Linked DNA regions of Diceros bicornis minor. The protein of the gene in region 3 purifies or fractionates together with the protein of the main gene of each other region. This does not show direct contact. Links are inferred from orthologs where the notes say so. Each region holds a gene or a part of one and is shown on either strand. Other genes may lie near its edges.

The links.
Region 1: the proteins of SLMAP (region 3) and STK4 purify together in Homo sapiens (co-immunoprecipitation; 3 studies listed by BioGRID and IntAct, with this or other methods). This does not show direct contact. The link is inferred for Diceros bicornis minor from reciprocal best matches to the Homo sapiens genes SLMAP and STK4.
Region 2: the proteins of SLMAP (region 3) and STK24 purify together in Homo sapiens (affinity purification with mass spectrometry; 6 studies listed by BioGRID and IntAct, with this or other methods). This does not show direct contact. The link is inferred for Diceros bicornis minor from reciprocal best matches to the Homo sapiens genes SLMAP and STK24.

The regions. Positions count from the first base shown.
Region 1 is NC_080758.1:16,216,418-16,223,928, reverse strand, and holds the start of STK4 (serine/threonine-protein kinase 4), read left to right. Parts: upstream 1-4,429; 5' UTR 4,430-4,482; coding exon 4,483-4,517; intron 4,518-7,511. UniProt on the Homo sapiens protein: Stress-activated, pro-apoptotic kinase which, following caspase-cleavage, enters the nucleus and induces chromatin condensation followed by internucleosomal DNA fragmentation.
Region 2 is NC_080748.1:74,650,985-74,658,099, reverse strand, and holds the start of STK24 (serine/threonine-protein kinase 24), read left to right. Parts: upstream 1-4,064; 5' UTR 4,065-4,386; coding exon 4,387-4,428; intron 4,429-7,115. UniProt on the Homo sapiens protein: Serine/threonine-protein kinase that acts on both serine and threonine residues and promotes apoptosis in response to stress stimuli and caspase activation.
Region 3 is NC_080741.1:57,749,722-57,757,138, forward strand, and holds the start of SLMAP (sarcolemmal membrane-associated protein), read left to right. Parts: upstream 1-4,351; 5' UTR 4,352-4,643; coding exon 4,644-4,841; intron 4,842-7,417. UniProt on the Homo sapiens protein: Associates with the striatin-interacting phosphatase and kinase (STRIPAK) core complex, forming the extended (SIKE1:SLMAP)STRIPAK complex.

The DNA.
Region 1 (7,511 bases), on a different chromosome or scaffold from region 3:
GTCTCCCACTACTGCTGGCTGGTCAGCTGACATGGGAACCTGGGAAGTGAGCCTGCAGGGTCAGTATCCTCCCTAAGATTTCTTAGGTGTGACATCAAAAGTATGATCCTTAAAAGGAAAAAAATGAATCAATTGGACTTAACAAACATTAAGAACTTCTGCTCTTTGAATGATGCTGTTAAAAGAATGAAAAGACAAGCCCCAGAAAATGTTTGTAAATCACGTATCTGATAAAGGACTTGCATCCAGAATATTTAAAAAAAACTCTAAAAACTCAATAATAAGAAAATAACCCAATTTTAAGAAAGGCAAAAGACTTGAAGAGATACTTTAAAAAAGAAAATAAACAGATGACAAGCACTTAAAAAGATGCTCAACATCATTAGTCATTAGGGAAATGCAAATTAAAACCACAATGAGATACCACTACACACCTATCAGAATGGCTAAAATTACAAACACTGATCATATCAAGCATAGGTGAGGAGGACAACTAGAATTCTCATACACCGTTGGTGGAAATGTCAAATGGTACAATCACCTTGGAAAACAGTCTCTTAATACATCAACATATGTCTTCCATATGACCCAGCTATTTCTCGCCTGCGTATTTACCCAAAAGAAATGAAACGTCCTTTTGTATGTATGTATGCCTATATGTATATCCACACAAAGACTTGTACACAAATGATCATAACTGTTTTATTTGTAATAACCAAAACCTAGAAAATAATTACTGTTATAAACCACTGGGCTTTGGGATGGTTTGGTACATGGTGATAGCTAACAGATACACCTAACCGATTTCTAGTAATTTTTTGTATCTTTACACGGCCCATATTCAACCTGACTCTGGCTACCTTGCCTACCTCACCTCCTACTTTTCTCTTCCTTATTCACTCTGCTCCAAGCACACCAACTTCTTGCTGCTCTTCTAATGTAAGCCTTTGCCCTTGCTGTTTCCTTCTGCCTTAAACATTCTCTTTAAATATGAGTGTGGGGGGCCGGCCCGGTGGCGCAAGCTGTTAAGTGTGCTCGCTCCGCTGCAGTGGCCCAGGGTTCGCTGGTTCGGATCCCGGGCGCCCATCGACGCACCGCTTGTCAAGTCACGCTGTGGTGGCGTCCCATATAAAGTAGAGGAAGATGGGCATGGATGTTAGCCCAGGGCCAGTCTTCCTCAGCAAAAAAAAAAAAAAAAAGAGGAGGATTGGCAGACGTTAGCTCAGGGCTGATCTTCCTCAGAAAAATAAATAAATAAATATGAGTGTGACTTATTCTTTCACTTCAGTCACATCTCTGCTCAAATATCACCTCCTCAGAAAGGCTTTCCCTAATCACTGATCTAAATTACTCCCCATCCCACTTTCCACACTCTTACATTAATTTCTTCTCATATAATTTTTAATACCAGACATTTTATATATTTATATAGTTTGTTTATTTACTGTCTATCTTTCCCACTTGAATGTGACACACATGAGGGCACAAACTTATCTCTTTTGCTCATTGCCTGGCACTTAGTACAGTGCTTGGGCCACAGCAGATACACAATATATACGTGTTGAATGAATGAATGATTGTCCCAGCTGTCTCAGAGCTGTCTCGATCTTACTAGACTTCGTTAGGTTCTCACATTATAGTTTTCTATCATGATTTATCACTACATTAATCAATTATCTGCCTAATAACTATCTTTTCTACTACACTATAAGTTGCAAAAAAGGTAGGACTCATATATGTCTCAAATATTCTTGTATACGCAGAGAATCACACGGTGCCAGCCCATGGAGCTCACAGAGTGTTGAATGAATGGAGCACGAGTAACCCTGCTCATTGGTTCTCTCTCTTAAGCTATTAGCATATTATGGTTGGCTGAGGCTTGCTATTTAAATTTAAATTAATTAAATAAAATTTTAAAATTCAATTTTTCAGTCACACTAGCCCCATTTAAAGTGCTCAACAGCCACATGTGGCTAGTGGCTACTGTTTCGACAGCACATATGTAGAACATTTCCACCATTGCAGGAATTTCTATGGGCCAGTGCTGCACCGGACGTTCTGTGGAAAAAGAGGGCAATCCTAATGTCAGTCTATCTTCTGGAAAAATCCTGGGAAGGGACAAAGGAGGGATGTTTGACAATGTGTATTGGCAAATTGACATTTATTTTTAAAAATGTTTATTGAGTACTTACTCATCTATGGGGATGAGTGTGTGGGCATAATGGAAGCTTCCACACAGAACTGCCCCTCAAGGAGGAAGAAATCCAGTGGGCAGCAGGGCCCGAACATAAGGTAAAACGTTGAGTGTGCTTTGGGAGAAGAACAGGAAAAGTGCGAGGGGATTTCAGAGGACAGAGGTTGACTTCTTGCAGGAGGGACCCATATGGCTTCCTGAACTTTGTAGAAATTCTTCTTGATCTTTACTTCCTCAGGGCTCCCACTGCCACTTGTACAGATTGCTGATAGAGCAAAATGGCAAATAAAATATGGATTTTGTGGAGTCAGGACAGTCTTGGGTTAAAACCTTCGCTCTCACTAGCCGTGTATACGTGAGTCTCTGCTTCCTCACCTGAGGAACTGGGACTAATAATTCTTACTTCATAGAGTTGTTTTGAAAATTAAGTGATAGTCTAGGATTGTGCCTGGCACACAGTAGATTCTCAGTAAATGTTTTCCTTCCGTGTCTGGGGAATGGCTCTATTATCCCATTTTTAGCACACGGGGTGCCATACCTGGGTGGCCCTGAAAGGTGGCTGCTCAGGTGTTAAGTTTCATAGATGGCATACCTTTGGGAAAAGCAGGACAATTAAAAACAGTGAGTGGTTGCTCTGGGTACATTTGCTCCTGTAACTTTCCCCGTGGGTAAGTTGGGTGGAATCTGCCATTTTCCTAGCACTCATTGATGGTGGTGGCAAGTGGGGATTTAACCATAGCCATAGCTGGAACTGGAGCTCTGAGTGGAGAGGGAGCTCTGACTCTGACGCCCAGAGAGAGAGTATACATCAGTGGCTGTCCAGTTTAAGGTGCAGGCTCTAGAATCAGACGGACCTGGATTTAAATCCCTAAACCTATTCTTTTAGCTCTGTGATCTTCACTTCCCTGGCCTTATAAAATGAGAGTATTGATAGTACTTATCTTATAAGGTTGTTAGGAGTATTAAATGAGTTAATAGTAGTAAAGCACTGAGAATGTGGTATAGCAGAGGAAGAACTATTCCTGTACTCTCTAGGTTCTTCTGGCTGATCTAAGAATTAAATTGACATGAGACAGAATAACAGGAGAAAATGAAACAAATTTAATAACATGTATACCTGGGAGAAACCCAGGAAAACTGAGTAACTCTCCAAAATGGCAGAAGCTGCTACCTTAAATACCATCTTCAGCTAAGAACAAAGGAGGACGTTGGGGTTATTGGTTTTGGACTTCAAAGGGGAGGAAGGCAATTTACATGGAGATGGAAAACCAAATGTTTGGTTAACAAATGTTGACCATGCCTTGCAAAGACAATGAGAGATGAGGACTTTGATTAAAAGGCCCTTGTTAGGTTCCTCCCTGTTTATCAAACCTAGTTTATATTATTCTATGGTTATCTTATGGTATTAGCTCCTTCCTGGAACAGGCTTTCTATCTTAAATTCTTTTAGGCAGTTAGAAGGAAGGTGAAGTTTCCTTCCAAGTCTTTTGTTCTTAAAAATAATCAAGCCAAAGAGACACATTTTTGGGGTGGCAAATTCTGATCCCCCACAGTGGTAAGCACAGTTTGTCAGATAATCAACACATAAAATTGGGGATAACCATACCTGCTTGATGTGAGGATTAAATGAAACAATATATGAAAGCAAATACATGGCAAGAGCTTAATAAATAACATGTACACCTGGTTTCTCCCAGGTATACACGTCTCCAAACTGACTCAAAGGAGAGGCTGTTAAGGAAGAGGGTGGGGCAATTTGCAGGCTGATGCCCTGTGACAGCCAAGAAGGTATGCGCGGTCCAGTCTCCATCTGGAACAAGAATTCTACCAGGTAAGAATGGTAGAAAACCACAAATACTTCCAGGAGGCCCTGGGGGTGACAGCGATTCCCAGGAATCGCGTAGAACTTGGCTTGTTAAGAATCAATAGTTTTTATCAAGCTGGCGCTTCGCAAGAAGCCTCAGTATCTCAGTCTAAGAAATAAGGGGCCGGACTGAGGCAGACATGCGTTCCCGGTGTGGGGACCGAGCGGCTTGGGCGAACAGCATGTCAAGCAGAGCGTCAAGCCTGGCTGAGGACTCCAGGCAACAGTCTCCTCCGCTCCGGGCTTCCGGTCCGCGCCCCGCTGCACCACGTGACCCAGGCCCGGTCCTTGTGGCCCCGCCCCGCGCCGCGCGGCTTCCGGTAGGGGCGGAAAGCGGAAGTGTGGGAGGGTCTGCGGGGCGTGCTCGGGTAGGTCCCCGGGGAGGATGGGGCAGTGAGCGGGCTTGGGCGGCTGCTGGCAGCGCCATGGAGACGGTGCAGCTGAGGAACCCGCCGCGCCGGTGAGGGGCCACTGGCTAACGGGAGGGGGGTCGGGGGGAAGGAAAGGCGGGAACTGACGGAGGGGGGACACCCGTTGTCGAGCCCCCGAGGGGAGGGACCTGCGGGGCGAGGCGACCCGGTGATGGGGCACCTGCTGAGTGGGGGACATCTGGCGGCTGGGGGTCCGGGAGAGAGAGGCACGCGCCGAGGGGGATAAACGTGGGGCTGGTTAGGGAGAGCACTTGCTGTAGGGGGACGTCCTGGGGGACTGCTGAAGGGAGCAGCTGCTGAGGAACGTGGCGACAAGTTAGGGAGAGCACCTGCTGAGGGCTGGGGCCGCTGGGGGAAGGCTGTCCTAGAAGGGACTCACTGAGGCGGGGGGAATGCTGAAGCAGGATGGGAACCTATGAGGGGTCTGTCTAAGGGATGGGTCGGGGACAAGCTGAGAGGAAGGCTGGGTGGACTTCGTAAGGACGGGGTCCCACCTGAGGGGTGCTGTTGGGGAGGATCTGCTGGGGGAAAAGCTTTGCTCCAAAAGCTGAAGGTGTGCCAAGAAAGGTTGCCGGTCTAGCAAGGGAGGGAGGGCTTCCTGGAGGACAGCATTTAGGAAGATGTCCTTGGTAGTGTCCCCACTCTAGGATGATGATGGCATCTGTCATTCCTTAAGTCCAGTGCCTTCTTAATTTTCCTCACATCCTCCTCAGCCCTTTAAACCCACCATTGCGGGGTAGATGAGGAAATAAGGATTTTTTTCAAGTTGGGGAAATTGAGGCCCCGAAGAGTTGAGACACAGACCCCTGTGTTTCCTTCTTTGCTCTAGACTGGGTCACTGGACCAGGCCAGACTGTGCCCTTTTCAGGCCTCTATTGTTTTGTGAGTATCAGCTCCAGATCCTACTGATACCTGGAATTGTTTTAAGTCCAGATCAGGGAGGTGGCTGATCCTAGAAGGTCTGTACTCCTGATTTGGTCGCAGTTGCATCATTGATTTGCTCTACGGACCCCCAGGGTCTTATGTCACTCTGCCACATCTGGAGAAAAAGAGAGTAGAGATGGAGGCAGTCATGCTTCTCTGAGGTGCAGTGTAGTTAGCTTCTATTTCACAGAGGCCTCTGACTTCCTGCAGCAGAAGGAGCGCTAAAGTAGGAAGTGTTCAGTGGGTGGGAGTGCGGGGCAATGGAGAGGTGAAGGGAAGAGACTGGCAGCCTGGGCTGCACACTTGGGGTTTGTTTGAAGCGCACAAGCACTGCAGAAGGCAGATAGCTGGTTGGTATGAACTCATAATTCACGCTAGTGTAGTGTGCTGAGACTGAAATAGTAATAATGATTATTACCCTCATCTAGCACTTACTGGGTGCCGGACACTGTTCTCAGTGCTTTCTGTTGAACCATGTGAAAATGCCGATATTTGACCATTTTTGATCTGTAAAAATGGTAATTTTGTGTGGTTCAACTTACTATTGACTCATTTGATCCTCACAACAATCCTGTGAAGTGGTTACCCCTATATCTCTATTCTACAGGTGATAAAACTGAGGCACAAAGAGGTTAGTGATTTGCCGGAGGTCCCACAGTTAGTAAGTGGTGGAGCTGGGATTTTAATCCAAGCAGTCTAGTCCGAAGCCACGCTCTTAACTGTCTCACTCTGATGCCTCTCTGGAAGTACCCGTGTTTCACAGGGCCTTGCGTGCATTAGCAGATATTTGCTATCACACCGTGGCGATCCACTTATAAATGTACACTGATTATATTTCTTTCTGAAATATGTTTGTTCTTTCTCCTCGGGCTTGGTTTAATTGGAAAGAGCATTAGGGATCTGAGTTTTGTTGCTGTCTTTGCCTCGTGTTGTATAATCTTGGGCAAAAGAGTAAACCTTTTTGCTTTTTGACACATTCATTCCTGTACCTTTTGGGTTTTAAAAAAATTTATTAAATGTGCAAGAGAAGAGCATTGCAAGACAGTTCTTGAATGACTGGTGCTTTCCTGTTCATCATAACTAATTTGCATCATAACTCATTTGCCTAATTTGCAGCAGATTAACTTTATTATCATTTGTATTAGTTTGTTAGGACTGCCATGTCAGTGTCACAGACTGGGTGACTTAAACAACAGAAATTTATTTTCTCACCGTTCTGGAGGCTACAAGTCCGAGATCAAGATGTCGGCATGGTTGTTTCTTTTGAGGCCTCTCTCCTTGGCTTGTAGGTGGCTGTCTCCTTCCTGTGTCTTCACATGGTCTTCCCCCTGTACCGGTCTGTGTCCTCATCTCCTCTTATAAGGACACCAGTCGTTTTGGATTAGGCCTCACCCATATGACCTCATTTTACCTTAATTACTTCTTTAAAGCCCCTATCTCCAAATATAATCACATTCTGAGGTACTGGGGGCTAGGACTTCAGCATATGAATTGGGAGGGGCACATTGATTTTATCATCATTACAAAAACTTCATCAGTTTGTCTTACGTATTTGTTGTAAATAGAATCAAATTCTATTTGGAGGGAGGGATAGGTATACATAAATAAAATGAGCCTGACATGAGTTCTAAAATGGGAGAAAGAGATTTGATAATTAGCCAAACCTATGAGTAACTACTTCATAAAAAGTCTTGTTTGTGTTTGGAAAGATACAAATGTCTTTTCAGAGATTCAGATGGCCTGTGTTTCCAACAAGGAATAGCAATCCCAATGCAGGAAATGCTCTTTGTGTTCATGAGTTTAACATTTGTGTGTGACTCCTACGTATGGCTTATGTAGGAGTTTATGATTTTAAAAAATGAGTTGCCATTAGATAATAATAGTGTAGTGGAAGGTGTAGAGTACATTTCTGGGATGCTGGCCATCCACGTGGCCATCTGACTTAGAAGAGGAGCATCCACCGGTATTTGGTCCATGCAGGCTGTGTTGGCCAGGCCTGTGTGTTTATGAGCAAGCAGTGAAACGAACTACCTAGGACCTGGGGAAGTCCCACCTGAGAGAGCTAAATCATCAGTGTCGGGCTATCTTGGTTATAGTGC
Region 2 (7,115 bases), on a different chromosome or scaffold from region 3:
GCTCAGGGAGCTGAGCCTCGAGGAACCACTTAAAGGGGCTGACCGCAAACGTGCATACAGTGAAAAGGGTGTGTTATGGGCTGAATCATGTGTGTCCCCCCACCCCATTCATATGTTGAAGTTTTAACCCTCAGTACCTCAGAATGTGACTGTATTTGGAGATAAGGTCTTCAAAGAGGTAATTAAGTTAAAATAAAGTCATTAGGGTAGGCCCTAATCAAATATGACGGGTGTCCTTATAAGAAGAGGAGGTTATGAAACACACACACGTACACACAGAGAACACCATGTGTGGATACAGGGAGAAAATGGCCATCTACAAGCCAAGGAGATGCCTCAGAAGAAATCAACCCTGCCACATCTTATCTAGGACTTCTGGCCTCCAGAACTGTAAGGACATAAATTTCTGTTGTTTAAGCCGCCCAGCCTGTGCTACTTTGTTATGGCAGCCCTAGCAACCAAAAACGGACGTGGAGCCACGTCGCTCTGAGAGCTGGCCCTCTGAGCTTCACACCCACACAATGAAACTTCGTTTGCACCATACCTCAATGTAGCTGGATCTTTTCCTAGGGCTTTAGCATATATTTTCTTGCCATCATGTCATCTAACTATGACGAGGCATGCTTCTTCATACTGATTTTAATAATCTGTCTTCCTCTTTTGTGTCTTCACCTGCTGAACATGTGTAGAAATTTGTCAAGCCTTCTGTTAGTTACTTATCCAAGCTACTCATATTTCTCCCTTTAAAGTTCACCATGTAAGTCCCTTTCTTTAATCTGCAAATTTAAATTGCTAATGTGCTACTTGTCTAGCTGTTCTTTATAAAGTGGCATTTGGGGGTGTTTATCTTTTCAACTCAGAAGGAGAAGTGAAGGGACTGATTGTTGAATTCTTGTTTTCGGCTGCACTCTTTGAGCTCTGCTGAGACTACAGAGCTGGCTTAGGGAACTTCAATACACAAGGGCTCTATATTTGGAGGGGCTCATTGTAAGGGTATGGAAATGTCCTTTGTGGTCCCAAATATATGTCAGAGCACAATTCATTGCCCAATTCATGTCCTTAAGTCAACACAAAAGACAAAGAGAGCCAGGGGATGAAAATAATTCCATGGGTTAGCAAGTGTCTCCATGGAGACCAGAAAATGCATAATCTCTATGGAGACCCTCAAAATCTCTCCTTCTGAAATTACAATAGTATATGATCTGTTGTAATTATAAGTTGAGGGTGGAGACAAAGTGACCAGAGGAAGAGGATGACAGGATAACCTTCTTTCCCTTGTGGAAATTATAGCTGTTGTGACTCTAAGTTTAATCAGTTGTGGTATTGTAAAATTCTGAAGTTAGCATTCTGGGAGACCATGTCCCTAGGATGGGATAAGAGGCACTTGAGGATCCAGCGTTTATATGCCCAACACTAACCTAGATGTCTGACATGTAGTTGGCGTTCAGAACAATGTGTTAATGTATGAACCAATGCAATGAGCAATTGGGCAGGATCTCATCATGGGCTCGGGCCCTGTCAATCATCTCTGCTCTGCTAAAACAAAGGGAGAGGGCTACTGATGGGGAATCCCGGGTAATGTCTGCATATGACCGAGCTGCACCAGTAACTCTTATTTTGCTTCTTTCTTCTCTTTCAAGGAGAATGGTGCTCAATTGTAGAAATATGGTTGAAGGAGGAAATGAGGTTTAGTCGTGGTGAGGAGATAAACAGGGTACAAGGAAATAGACCAGCTAATGAATGCAGGTCACTGTGTGCAGATAAGTTATATCCCATTGTAACCAACATGTTCTTAGCCTCACTAGCCTCTGGATAGAAAACGGGATTCTGATTACTTTTTATACCCAGGTTGTTATGGTCCAGTGTCCCCTGTGGCACATTTGTTGGAAATTAGCCCACCGTAAAGTGGGCCCCAGTGTTCTTTGAGAGTTTCCTATGGTAATGCCTCAGATCAGGGCCCAAACATTTCTGCCCACTTGTCCTGTTTCTTCCTCCTTATCTTGCTGCCATGTTATTGCCCTGACGGCTCACCCTAAGGAGAGACTTCTTTAGCATGATAGTCTCTACTGGTTGACCACCTACTGAAAAAATCACCTTTAATTCCAGGGATAGCCACTGCTTGGTAAATATACTTCCAAGTTTTTCTCTGTTTATGCATATATGCATAAAATTATATAAATTTAAATTATATATATGTTAAATTTATAAATTCATATATGTGGAGTAGCTTGAGATCAGACTATACATAATTTTGTACCCTGTATTTTCTTTCTTAATAATATATAATGAAAATATTCTTCCATGTTACTAAATATTGAAATACATAATTTTTAATAACTACCTAGAACTCACGTTATGAATATACTATCATTTACTTAAAAATCTCTGTGGACTTTTAATGTTTCCAATTTTCCCACAATTATAAATATCACTGCACTGCATCTTTTTATCTACGTTCTTCTGCACTTCTTGGTTGTTTCCTCAGCATTTGTTACTTTAAGTAGAATTCCAGGGTTAAAGAGTATTAACCCTTTTAAGACTCACGTTTTTGCTTGTTTTGCTGTTCATCTCTTTACGTAACCATTTTTTAGGTACACAAGATTTATACAAGATGGCAAGCTCCTAGGTATCAGGATTCATGCTTTTCTTAACTTTGTATTTGCCACATGCTCTTCACATTCCTTGGAGGTGGCAGGGCTTCATATTTCAGTGAAAACAGTGTACCAGTGACAACCATGAAGGTGTGTGAACCATCCTGAAGGACCTCGAGGAAAAACATGCATATTTCCAAAGGGAAAGAGGGATTCAGTCTAAGCACCCCACTCTCTGATCCAGAGCACCAGAGGGACCTGAAGTTGTTAAGAACACAGTGACATCTCAGAGAAGAAACATTCCTTGCCTTAGTAGAGGACTTTTAGAGTTTCCTCCAATAGTCTGTGAACTCTGGGGGGCTCATTTTTGTACGTCCGACCTAGCACAGCGATGGTGCAACAAAAGCATTCACGGGCATGAATGAGGAGCCAGGGTCCCCACAACCTGAGGTGCAGCAGATCACTTCAGTGGCTGCCACTCTGTCATTGTAAATAAAATACTTTCTGGAGGCAGTATTGACTCATTCCTAATGTCTTTCCTCTGCAGTTGGAGAAGAGGTGGCTAAACGGTGGGGGTCGAACTGGTGCTGAAGGCGGAGCTGGCCCTTTCGCTGGTAGCCGAAAGAGGGAGAGGGCCGGGGTAAGTCTAGACACGTTTCCTTCGATTGTCTTCCCTTCCTCCCTGCCCCTCCCCCACCTTTCCCTTCTCGTGGGTGGCCGCTCCCGCCCTGGTGCGGAGCCCCCTCACTTAGCTAAGTTTGCAGCGCCTCGAAGTCCAAGCGGGGCTGTCTTCAAGTAGCAAAAGCACGGGGGATTAACAGCTCTCGGCCTCTCCCCTCTCGGTTTCCTCCTTGGGTTGGTAGGAAACTTTACCCAGACGCCGAAGAAGCTCCGCCCTGGTAGTTTTGAACTGGCCACTGGCTGAGGCCCCGCGGGGCACTCTCCCTCCCCAGGTCCCCCAGCCCCAGACTCTACCCTCGAGGAGGCCGCCCGGAGCCAGTTTGTTCGGGGGCAGATGGCGAGCGGTGGGCTGGCTGGGAGGGCAGGAGGAGGAGGATAGAGGAAGAGTCGGTGCGCACCGCTCCCGCGCTGCCCAGACCCCCTTAGGGCCCGACTGGGCCCGCGGGTGGGGTGGGGGTGGTGGGCACGCGGCCCATCCCTGCCTCCAAGCCGCGTCCCTCGTCTCCCCGCCGGGCGGGCGGCCGCCCGCCCCCACCTCCCCTCCGGCTGCCCATCCTCCTCCCGCTCTGCCCTGCCGCTGGGGGGAGGGGCAGCCCGCGGGAGACGCTCCGACCCCCGGCCGCCCCGGCAGGCGGCGGCGCAGGCGGCTGCGGCCTAGGGCCCCGGGCGGCCGCGAGCCTCCTCCCCCTCCCGGAAGCGCGGGGCGGGGTCCCCGGCCGGGCCGCGGGGGCGGGCGCGGGGGCCGGGCCGGGGCGGGGCGCGCGGGGCGCTCGGCACTCGCGGGCTCGGCCGGCTGTGCGCGCCCACTCCGGCTCCAGGCGACCGGCGCGCGCGGGCCCAGGCCGCCCGGCTCCAGCGGAGCAGCAGCGGCGGCAGCTGGCGGCGAGGCCCCGCGCCCCTCGAGCCCCTCCCCGGCGCCGCGCATGGAGACGCGGCCCGCCGCCCGCCGCTGAGCTCGCCGCCCGGCCCGGGACCCGCCGGGGCTGGGGTGGCCTCGGGCTCCGGCCGGCCGCCCCCGTCGCCCGAGGGCTGCGCGCGGCCCGCGGGCCTCGTCGCCCGCGCGGATCGCCGCGGCCCGACCGTCCCGTCCCAGGCACTGGCCGTCCCGAGCGCCATGGCACACTCCCCGGTGCAGTCGGGCCTGCCCGGCATGCAGGTAGGCAGCAGCCGGGCCGCCGAGGGAGGGAGGGATGCGCGGGCCGGAGCGGAAGCGGGAACTTGGCGGTGTAAACACGGCCCCCCCACGCTGCCCTTCCGGGGTCGCGCCGGCCGCCCGCGCGGTACTCCCAGCCCCCGGGGCCACTGCCCGGCGCCGCGGCCCCAGGCTCGGGGGCGGGGGTGTGCGGGGATCGGGGCGCCGCGGCCTGGAGGCGGCCCTCGCCGGCCGGCGTCGCCGCGGTCAGGGAGGGATGCGGGGGTGCCAGCCGCCTTGCCCTCCCCGCTTTGCTCTCTTCCCAACGCCTCCCGAGTGCAGGCCCGGCGCCGGCGACCTCCCCGGGGAGAATGGATGCGCAGAAATGCCCTTGGAGGCCCGGATCCGGCTCGGGGCCCTGCGTGCGGCGGAGGCCCCTGTCCCCCCGGCGAGCGGCCGGAGAGTTGAGCGGCGGGAGGGCAGCCCCGGACGCGCCCCGACTCGTCCTGGGCCGGGCCCGGCCGGCTGGAGGAGGCAGGGCGGGGTGCGGCAAGGTGTAGGTGCCAGCCCCACTTCCAGCGCGTTCGTTCCGCGCCTGTCCTGGTGCAGATGGGAAAGTGCGAGCCTGGAAACCTTCTGGAAGAAGCAATCAGTCGGACACCGTGCACTCGCGTGCCGGACCCCGGGACCCTGGGCTTTTACTTTCAGACTTGGTTGGATCCGGATGAATTCCTTCCCAGTCAACCTCTCCTTTGATACTTTGTGGCATCCTGGCCGACCAGTGACTTTTTTGGAGGGGGAGAGAAGTTGAATTTCAAATTAACGTGAATGTATTAAGGTCTTTTGCCATTGGGCACTGTTCTTAGCCCTTTGAAAAAGAAAACCACCATCCGTGACTAACTTGTACTGTTTGTAAGCGCATATATGGTGGCAAAATGATTAGGGTTCAAATCTCACGATACGGTATGTCTTCCAAGTTTTGCTCTCTCAGTTTAGCTAAGCGAGTGGACCTAAGAAAACAACCACAGTTTTCCAAGTGGATTATTTATTTTACAGACATCTGCAGGCTCATTTTTTCTTTTTCCCTCGCCCTTGAGGGCTGAGAACAGGGCACCTACCTGGCCTCTTAGGAGCAGGGGATCTGCCCCACCTCTTCTGAGGCAGATGTTTTTTCCTTTTTTTTAAACCGTGAAAAGTGGGTTTCACTGTTCAGCTTTGAAATCTGGAAAAATAGGAACATAAAGTTACCAGAATTTTGGCCGGAGTTTTTTTTTTTTAAGGAGTAGCAGTTAAAGTTAATATCTTGAGTGTGCCTGAAGAAAACTGTTCTTGAATCTCATTTAAAGAGCCTTTAAATTGAACACGCATTTAAAACCTAAGCTTTTGCTGACCGCTAGGTAAAAATCAGATGTGGTTTCTTGGTATTTCTTAAAGTTCTTGCTTTGGTTTGGTTTGAATTTAGAGGCAGGAAGGCAAGGTGAACTGCGTGAAAAATTATTTTTGACGACTAGAGCAAGGGGGGCCTCTTGTAATGATAACAAAAATGCATTTAGTTAATATTTCCTTTAGACTGACTTCTATGCTGTGTTAATCAGGTTGTAATCCAGCACCAAGGCCTCACTTAGAGTTTTTACCGTGGAGGTAGTTGGCCTTTGTGGAAAGCGAATCAGTTTGGAAAGGGACTTCAAGCCTGGGTAGCTTGTGCCCTGAAGTCAGTATCAGATGGTCACCAGGTGGTATCTGGTCTCGACAATTTTTTTTTGTCCTTGCTTTTTTTTTTTCTTCAGGAGTGTGGGCCAAAATTCTTAACTCTTGGGAAAAGAAGGTAAAATTCCTTTAATAACTTTGCCTTCCAAATATAGTGTATTTCCTGGGTAGTGTTACAAGGGAACTGTTTTTATTTTGCTTTCTCAGTGTAAAAGCTGGTACATTTTTATTTAGTTGAGAGGACCACATTTCAGCTGTTATAGTTTCAGAGGTGCGAAGGTGGCTTCTGACAGCCATCCCTGCTTTTAAGCACATCTTCAAACTGTATGATAAATGTTTTTGGGTGCCATTTGGGGAAGAACATTCCTTTCCTCTCCTTTCCCCCTAAAAAAGAAAAACAACAAGCACATTTATTTTCTACTTGGAATTAGCAGCTGCTGCTGCCCAGGGAGGCATTCCTCAGAGTTGTTGAGATTAAATTAAAGATGCACCTGCCTTTGACTGACTGTTCAGGATAAAACAGGAGGGAGGTACTAACCCTTCTGTGCCCTGTCCTGAGACACCTCATCCCTCCCTTTTTTTCCATCTCATCTCCTGACCAGGGCTTTTAACGAGTTGGCTTAAAAATTTCAGAAAGACAGCAGAGTGAATTCAGGCAGCCGAGGCAAAGATGCTTAAAAAAAAAAAAAAAACCTGAATGAAAGAACATTTTAGTATAAACACGATTTTTCACTGTCTCGCGAATCATTTTTATGCCTCTTGATTCTTACTGCTACCACTTGAGGCATAAGTATTCTTTATGCCATTTTGTAGATGCAGAAACCAACAGAGACTAATGGAATGGACCAAGGTGAGACGATGTATCATGTGGCAAATTTGTGGTTTGAAACCAGGTCTTTCCTGCCTTCAAGACTGTGCTCCTACTCGCCATGCTGAATTATTGCTTTATTATTACTTTTGCAAAAATTAAAGGTTATTTCATTCCAAATTGCGTTTGCTGAAGA
Region 3 (7,417 bases):
GCATATTAAGTGAGTTTACAGAGTCATCTCCTACACATCTGAAATGCTAATAATTGCCTGTCTTTCATGGTACCAGGGTAATAATTTCACAATTCTCTCTTTGCTTTTCTAAGATTGAAAAGTAGCATGGATCATAGCAGTGGTGATAGTTATCAGTCTATTAAAAATGTAAAAATAAAAAAAAGGAGAGAAAGCTGCAACATTGGAAAACACTACCATTCCAAATTTCTCAAAACATGACATGTTTTTTGTTTAATTAAAATACTGTATGGATACAGAATCATCGAGAGGAACACCCACATGGCTTAGAATTCAAAATATCTCATGTATGAGATTTCTTAATTTAAGCCTTTTCTATGCCTGCCGAATACCAGTGGGTGAAGAACGCCTTCAATGCCATTTTGGCATTTCCACACCCTGTGTAGCTTGGTAGGATTGTTTACTCTTCCAGGTTATAGCAATCCCAGCTTTTCTTGGAGAAAAAAAGCCTATTCTGTTTAACATTAGTTTTAAGAGAGATTGTAGTAGAACTGAACGTAAAGAGACACTTCTTGTTTCCATATTTGTGAACAAGTTTGTCCATATACAAATTAGGGATAATACAACTTGCTCCTTACTGTATGTGGAAGGCTGGGGGAATTCTTACTATTAGTAATAATAATAAAAACTAACATTCTCTGAATATCTACTATTTTCTAGACATCATGGTAGGCACTTTGTCTTGCGTTATCTTATTTAACCCTAACAAGACTCTGTGAAGTATTGTCTACTTTTTTCAAATGAAGAAACTGAGACTTAGAGAAGCTAAATAATTTACCATTCACAGTGCTGGTAAATGGTGATGCAACGTCTGATTCTGAAACCTTGATTTTCATTACTCTACTTTAACCTTGTAGGAGAAAGATGGAAATGTTCTGAAGTTTATTGCATTGCCTATGAATCCTCCAGCAATTGAAATCATACTTCTGTGCCCCTCTCCTTGAACACCCCCACTTCCACTTATACTGCAATAATACAGACCTGCTTGTAATTCCCTTAAGGTCCTGTTCTCTCAAGTTTCTGGGTCTTTGTTTATAATATTTTCTTGGCCTAAAATTTTGTTATCCAACTACTACCAGACTAGCTTGCCTACTCCTACTCATTTTTCAAGTCTCAGTTTAAACTACTCTACCATGCTCCCATTACTCTTTGTTTTTCCTGAGGAAAGTTCGCCCTGAGCTAACATCCACTGCCAATTTTCCTCTTTTTGTACGTGAGCCGTGCCACAGCATGGCCACTGACAGACAAGGGGTGTAGGTCCGTGCCCAAGAACTGAGGCTGCTGAAGCGGAGTGCACCGAACTTAACCATTGGGGCTGGGCCCCATTACTCTTGATATACTCATTATGGCAGGGATCTTATTGTGTCATCACCTAAACTATGAGCAATTCAAAGGAATCTTTTTTTTTCATTGTTGTATTTCCAGGGCCTTTCAAAGTATCTGTTTCCCAGTAGATATTCAATTAAATATTTATAGAATGAATGAATGAAGGAATGCATAAGTCACTTATAAATTCATGCACAGAACTCATCAGGGATTTGTGGAGGGACCTATATTACTTTATTCCACATAAGCCTAAAAGTTACCAAAAATGAAAACTCTTCATCTTTATATGAAAACTTTTGAACATATCCTTATTTTTCTCCAGAATAAAGTAACTGGACACAGTAGTCGTTCAATACATATTTGCTGAATTAGTGAAGAGTCTTAGAAAAGTATATGAAGGCTTTATAATCGAATGCATATTCTTGTCTCCAGATTCACTTTGTGCCACTCCTGCTTTATCCTGTAATAATGAATAACAATATGTAATTTTTATTGAGGTATCAAATATTTATTGAGTCACTATTATATGCCAGGCACATTGGTCCACTGTTTCAATAGCCTTGTTCCTTTGCTTCCTAGTCCCTCTTTCTGGAAATTTATGAAGGCACTCAGTAAATACCATATTTATTGTGGTTTTCCTACCTTCATTCATTCAGTTCAGTTACTTCCCCTAGAAGGCTGTCCCTGACCCCTTTAGGATCCAGTGCTTGCCTCCATCTTAGCCCTGATTACATCAAAGTGAAGTTATTTGTATCCATGTTTGTCACCTCTCTCCCCAAATTCCTATCCAATAATACCTCAATGAGCCCTTAGAGGGCAGGGACTGAGGTTTTGTTCACCCCTAGGACTCAGCACAGATTTTAGGACAGGGCCAAAAGCCTATGAATAAGCATTGAAATGAACAATAGTTACTCTTCATTGAGCAACATGGATTATCGTCTTGAATTCTCACAAGAACAGGTGAGTTATGTATTATCTGCATGCTATAGATGAGAAAACGAGGCTTGAAAAGGTTTAGAAACTTGCCCAAGGTCACACAGTGGTGGAGCCTGTTGTCAAAGGAATCTGAAGAATGAAGCCACCATTGACTCTAAATGAATGACTCCTTCCCACCATCTTTTCTTGAAATTTTCTTTCAGATTTTGCAGTCTTCCCTTCTTTAGACCAATGACTCCTCATCTACCTTAATATCATGAGTGGGGGGCCACACCCCCTTTTTTTCATATTGTAAATTGATGACATCTCTCTAGAAGCAACGTGACTTTAAACTTTTAAGTCATACTCTTTCTGGGGTAGAATCTGTGTTTGGAGCCCTGAGGGACATGACAGTTCCAGTGAGAAAAGCGGTCATTCGAAATAGAATGCGGGGACTAAGAAAGAGTTTTTCTCCGGGTAGGATACACAGGGAAGACTTTAGCAGGAAGAGGACGGACTTTGTCATCTTAGATGCACAAATCCTGAGACTTGTGGGAATTTGGTTGTTCACACCTAAGGCGGCTGTGGGGGACTGTGTTGCCCACAGCTAAGATGGCTGCTAATGAACATTTGCTTTGGATGGATCTGTTCTCTTTGCTCGCTGCCATTTTCAACAAGAACGATAGTGAATAAAATTTAGTAAAAGTTGGTGCCTTCTTACCAAGATGGTAAAGTAGGAAGTTGGCACGTTTTGTTTAGAAAACCTTCAACAGGTCAAATTTTTTCTTGCCCTTAACCAAAAGGGCCGAAAAGGTTGTCCCATGGTTTGAAGCTTTCAGCCCTTAACTAAGATGGCGCCCGGAGAATCGTTGAAAATTATCTTGCCCTCTTTTCTGCCCTCGACCGTCATGGCTTCCGCGGCGTCGATCACGTGACTTCCCCGGACTACGGCGCGGGAGAGGGGGTAGGAGGGCCCTTGAAGGGTGCGCGTTCCCGTGGCGGTGCACCCGGTAGGTTTCAGTCAGAGTCACTATGGCGGCCGGCGCTGGCAAGGTAAGCTGAGGCGGCGGCGGCGGCAAGGGAGGCTGGACCCGTCGTGGTGTCCGGGCTCCAAATTCCCGCAGCCTCTCTGCGGAGAGGTCGGCCGAGGTCGTGGCCCGTGGCGGGGGCTGGCGGGGGGCGGTTGAGGGGGATGAGGGCTGAGGCGGGCGGGCACCGGCGCCTGACGGCCGTTTGTTTTGATGTTTCCCCCACCAGGTCGGAAAGTTTCTTGCTTCGTCGGGCACAGCCTGAGCGTGTCCCAGCGGCCGCGAGTGGTGGAGGCTGCGGCGGACCCAGCCCGGGGCCTCCAGGCCTCTCCCCCAACCTCCGGGCCGGCCTCCCTCCCCCACCTCCTCGTCCGCCGGGAGCTGCGGCTGCCGTCCCTGAGATGCGACCCTCGCGGGGGCGACCCTGAGGGGAGGCGGCCGGTGTGCTGAGCAGCAGCCAGGAGCCCAGGCGTCCAGGGACCAACTTCTTGCGGGCGGAGACCACCGAGCCTCCCCGGGGTCGCGCCTCGCTCGGTCCGCACCGGCCTGCGGAGCCGGATCCCCGCCCTGGTCGCGGGGACGCCCGCCAGGTGTCGGGGAGTCCCGACTCGGCCTCTGCCCGCGCTCCCGCCAGTCCCCGCTCCTCGCGCCAAGGACCCAGCCACCGCCGCCTCGGCTCGTGCGGGGCCAGGGACCCGTGCCACCTCCCGGGCGGCCTCCGCGCAGCAGGGGCCATGCAGACTGTCCCGCTGGCCGTCTAGACCCCCTCGCGTCTGTCTCTCCCCTCTCGAGGCCCTCGAGGACGGGCAGTGGCTGCCCAGAGGTGCTCGGCTACACCTTCTTTCAGCGCGAAAGGACCTTGCTGGCCGCACCGAACCGACCCTTCCTTCATGCTGCAGTGCTGCAACATTTCCGCCACCGAGGGGGAAAGGCGGCCGCGATCCCAAACAAAACACAAGAATTGGTGTGTGACTCATCTGCTTGGATACCTCCAATCTCCAAACTGTCTTCCAGGAGTTTTCTTGGCCGAAGCTGTCCGATGTTTGAGTCTTTTCATCCCAGGGAAGAAGATGGACTGAAAGCTGCCAGTTGGGGACTTTTTGTGATCAGGGCGCTGCTGGGTTTTAAAGGAGGTAATGGGGCTTTCGCTGGCTTGTCTTCCCACTCAAGTGAAGAAGAGTTGTTGATGTTCGCTGGTTATGCTTAGACAATGCACAGTTTGTTTTAATTTAAAATTTTGGGGGGGATAGGGGTATAGGCTTGTGAAGGGCAGTCCGGATCCGGTGGAACTCCTCTTTGTCCCTTGATAGGAGAGACACCCCCAGTCTGTCCTCGATGCCGTCAGCCTTGGCCATCTTCACTTGCCGCCCGAACTCGCACCCGTTTCAGGAGCGTCATGTCTACCTGGACGAGCCCATTAAAATCGGCCGCTCCGTGGCCCGCTGTCGACCAGCGCAGAATAATGCTACCTTTGATTGCAAAGTGCTGTCAAGGAACCATGCTCTCGTCTGGTTTGATCACAAGACGGGCAAGGTAATGTCACCACATTGTCTAACAGTCTTTATTTTTCCTATGCCTTTGCCGTTTTTGCATAATGTATTCGGGATCCCAGGGTTTGCACGCGCAGGAGACTTTCAGCAAGGCCACGGAATCAAGTTTTTGTGTCTGGTTCTAGTGGAAATTTAATTGAGGTGGTTGAATGGAAAACAGAGAGGTATTGTAATTAAACGCCTCAGGAGGGTGATGGCATCTTGATAACGTGGTCATTCCCAGTGAAATCCCAAACCCTAGGGTGATGGCATCTTGATAATGTGGTCATTCCCAGTGAAATCCCAAACCCTAATTCGTTTCGGAAAACTAGATAGTGAAACTTGGCTTCTTGCTTTCAGTCTTTTTAGAAAGGTGAATTTGCAGTTCAGTGCTTGATTAAGCAAGGAGCAATTCCCAAAGCAATGCAGGGAATCCGTGGCCAGTATTACACTGGGGCTCAAGTGTCTCAGTGGTGAGAGGTAGTTAACACATAGCTTTTAGTTGAGTTCAGATCAGGGCCTTTCTAGTAAGGACAGTCCTTTGTGTAAATTGTGTGGGAGTAATTTGCAGTTATCAAAGCCAATTTAATTAAGCATGAACAACTGTTAACTTGACATTTTCAGAGTTCTGTTTGCATATTGGGTTAACGTATACCTATTGCTTTTGAAAATCAGTTTTTGATGTTCCCCGCAGCATTTACTAAAAACACTTAATGCATACTTACAGAGGTGATATTTAGGAAATCAATTTATTTTCTGAAATTATATCCAATTCTATCAATTATTACAGTACCTAGATGTGATAGGATGAATTTAGTGCTCTTCCATTTTAGCATTTTTATGTTGGCACCCTATTTTGCTATACATGTGAGTGCTTATATTTTATGAATACAAGAAAAAAAATACAGACAGATCCTTTCAATTTTTAAAACTCTTTATGTGTTTGGAGAATATACTAAAGAGCTTATTTTTGTGCTTAAACCTCAGGTTTTAGTTGAGCTACTGAATCAGTTCTAACTTAGAGTAAGTTATATAAGACTAATAAAAATATCTCTGGTTTCACCTCCTGACTTTTTGCTCCCTCTTTCTGAGTTAAATGATTAAATCTTTTTTAAAAAGAGAATTTAAGTCAAGAGTAGTGCTTTGAAATGAAAGAAACCTGAGCCTCAAAAGGAAGAGAGAAAGCAATACTTCTTTTGCTACTGAATTAAGGAATTATTATATAAATTATTTTTCGAAGAAAGGACGAAAAGATTGCCCAAGTGCTGTGTGCTTGCATAATACCAAACCCTACTCCGTGTGTGGGATGAGAACAGAAAAGTATGTTATTTTTTCGGTGTAACACCAGATGATCATTTACCTGGGAACACACCCTTTTTTTCCCCCTGGAAACTAAAGTTTGGGTACCTGAAAGACTTCATAGATTACCCATAATCATTTAAAGTGAATATTCATAGAACTCATCTTTCCAGAAATGAAATTCAAACATCAGTTAACTGCTAGTGCGTTAACTCAACCAGCTTTTACATATTTGTCTCTTTATGTGCCTGGTCCAACTTAATCAGAAAACAGGTTTGCTTAAAGTACATACTCTGCAAATGCACATTCTTTGCTTTGATTCAGTACTCAAAGGAGACTCAGATTTTTTCTTTTACTTATTTGAAAAATAATGATTACATGAACAGTGCTTTTCATGGCTATTCTAAAACCCCCACAATAGGTTATTTTGAGATGAGAGAATAGGTCAATAATGAGTGTTTATTGTAGAAATTGAGATGACGTGTTAAAATTTTGAATGGAATTTGTTATTAGAAAAACTTATCTTTAAAGGATACACAGCTTATTTCTACCATTTTCACTTTTTTCCCCTGCTTTATTAGCTAAACCACATTCAGAATATGAGGCCATTACTTTAGGCGTAGCTATAATTATTGATTATTGTACCACTTAATCTAGTTAAAACAAATACCCTATCAGATTGTGCCATGTGATCAAATTGTCTTAGGAATTAACTATTTAAAATTTAGGTTTGAACAGACAGTAGATTTTTATTGAGCATTTATTGTGTGTCAGATATCGTGAGGTATGCAGTTCCAAAGAAAACCCACAGTTTGACCAAATATCTTTAATTGTTTTCTCTGTGTGAAATTTTCAGTTTGAGAATTTCTGCTATAATTGTCTCATAACAAAAGTCCCCAGGCCTAATATATATTCCCAGCAAATTCCTTTATACAACACAAGAATCCCCTCCTTCTATAAGCATTACTTCACGCAAGTTTTTTTTTAAACATCTCTAAGCCTCAGTTTTCTCTTCTGGGAATAATGATGGTACCTACTATTGTTTTGAGAATTGAGGTAATTATGTAAATCATTTAGCACCCTTATTAAGGGCTCAGTACTTAGGGAGGAGGGTGTTTGGGTTGAGGGGAAGAGGGAACCATCTCGACAGGTCTTTGCAATATAGTATAGTAGTGCTGTGGAGTCTTAGGAAGGTAATGGGAAATTTTTTTCTTTTATGTGATGGCGTATATAGAAGTAATGTTTTTTTGTTCTTTTGTTTTTTTTTTGTGAGGAAGATCA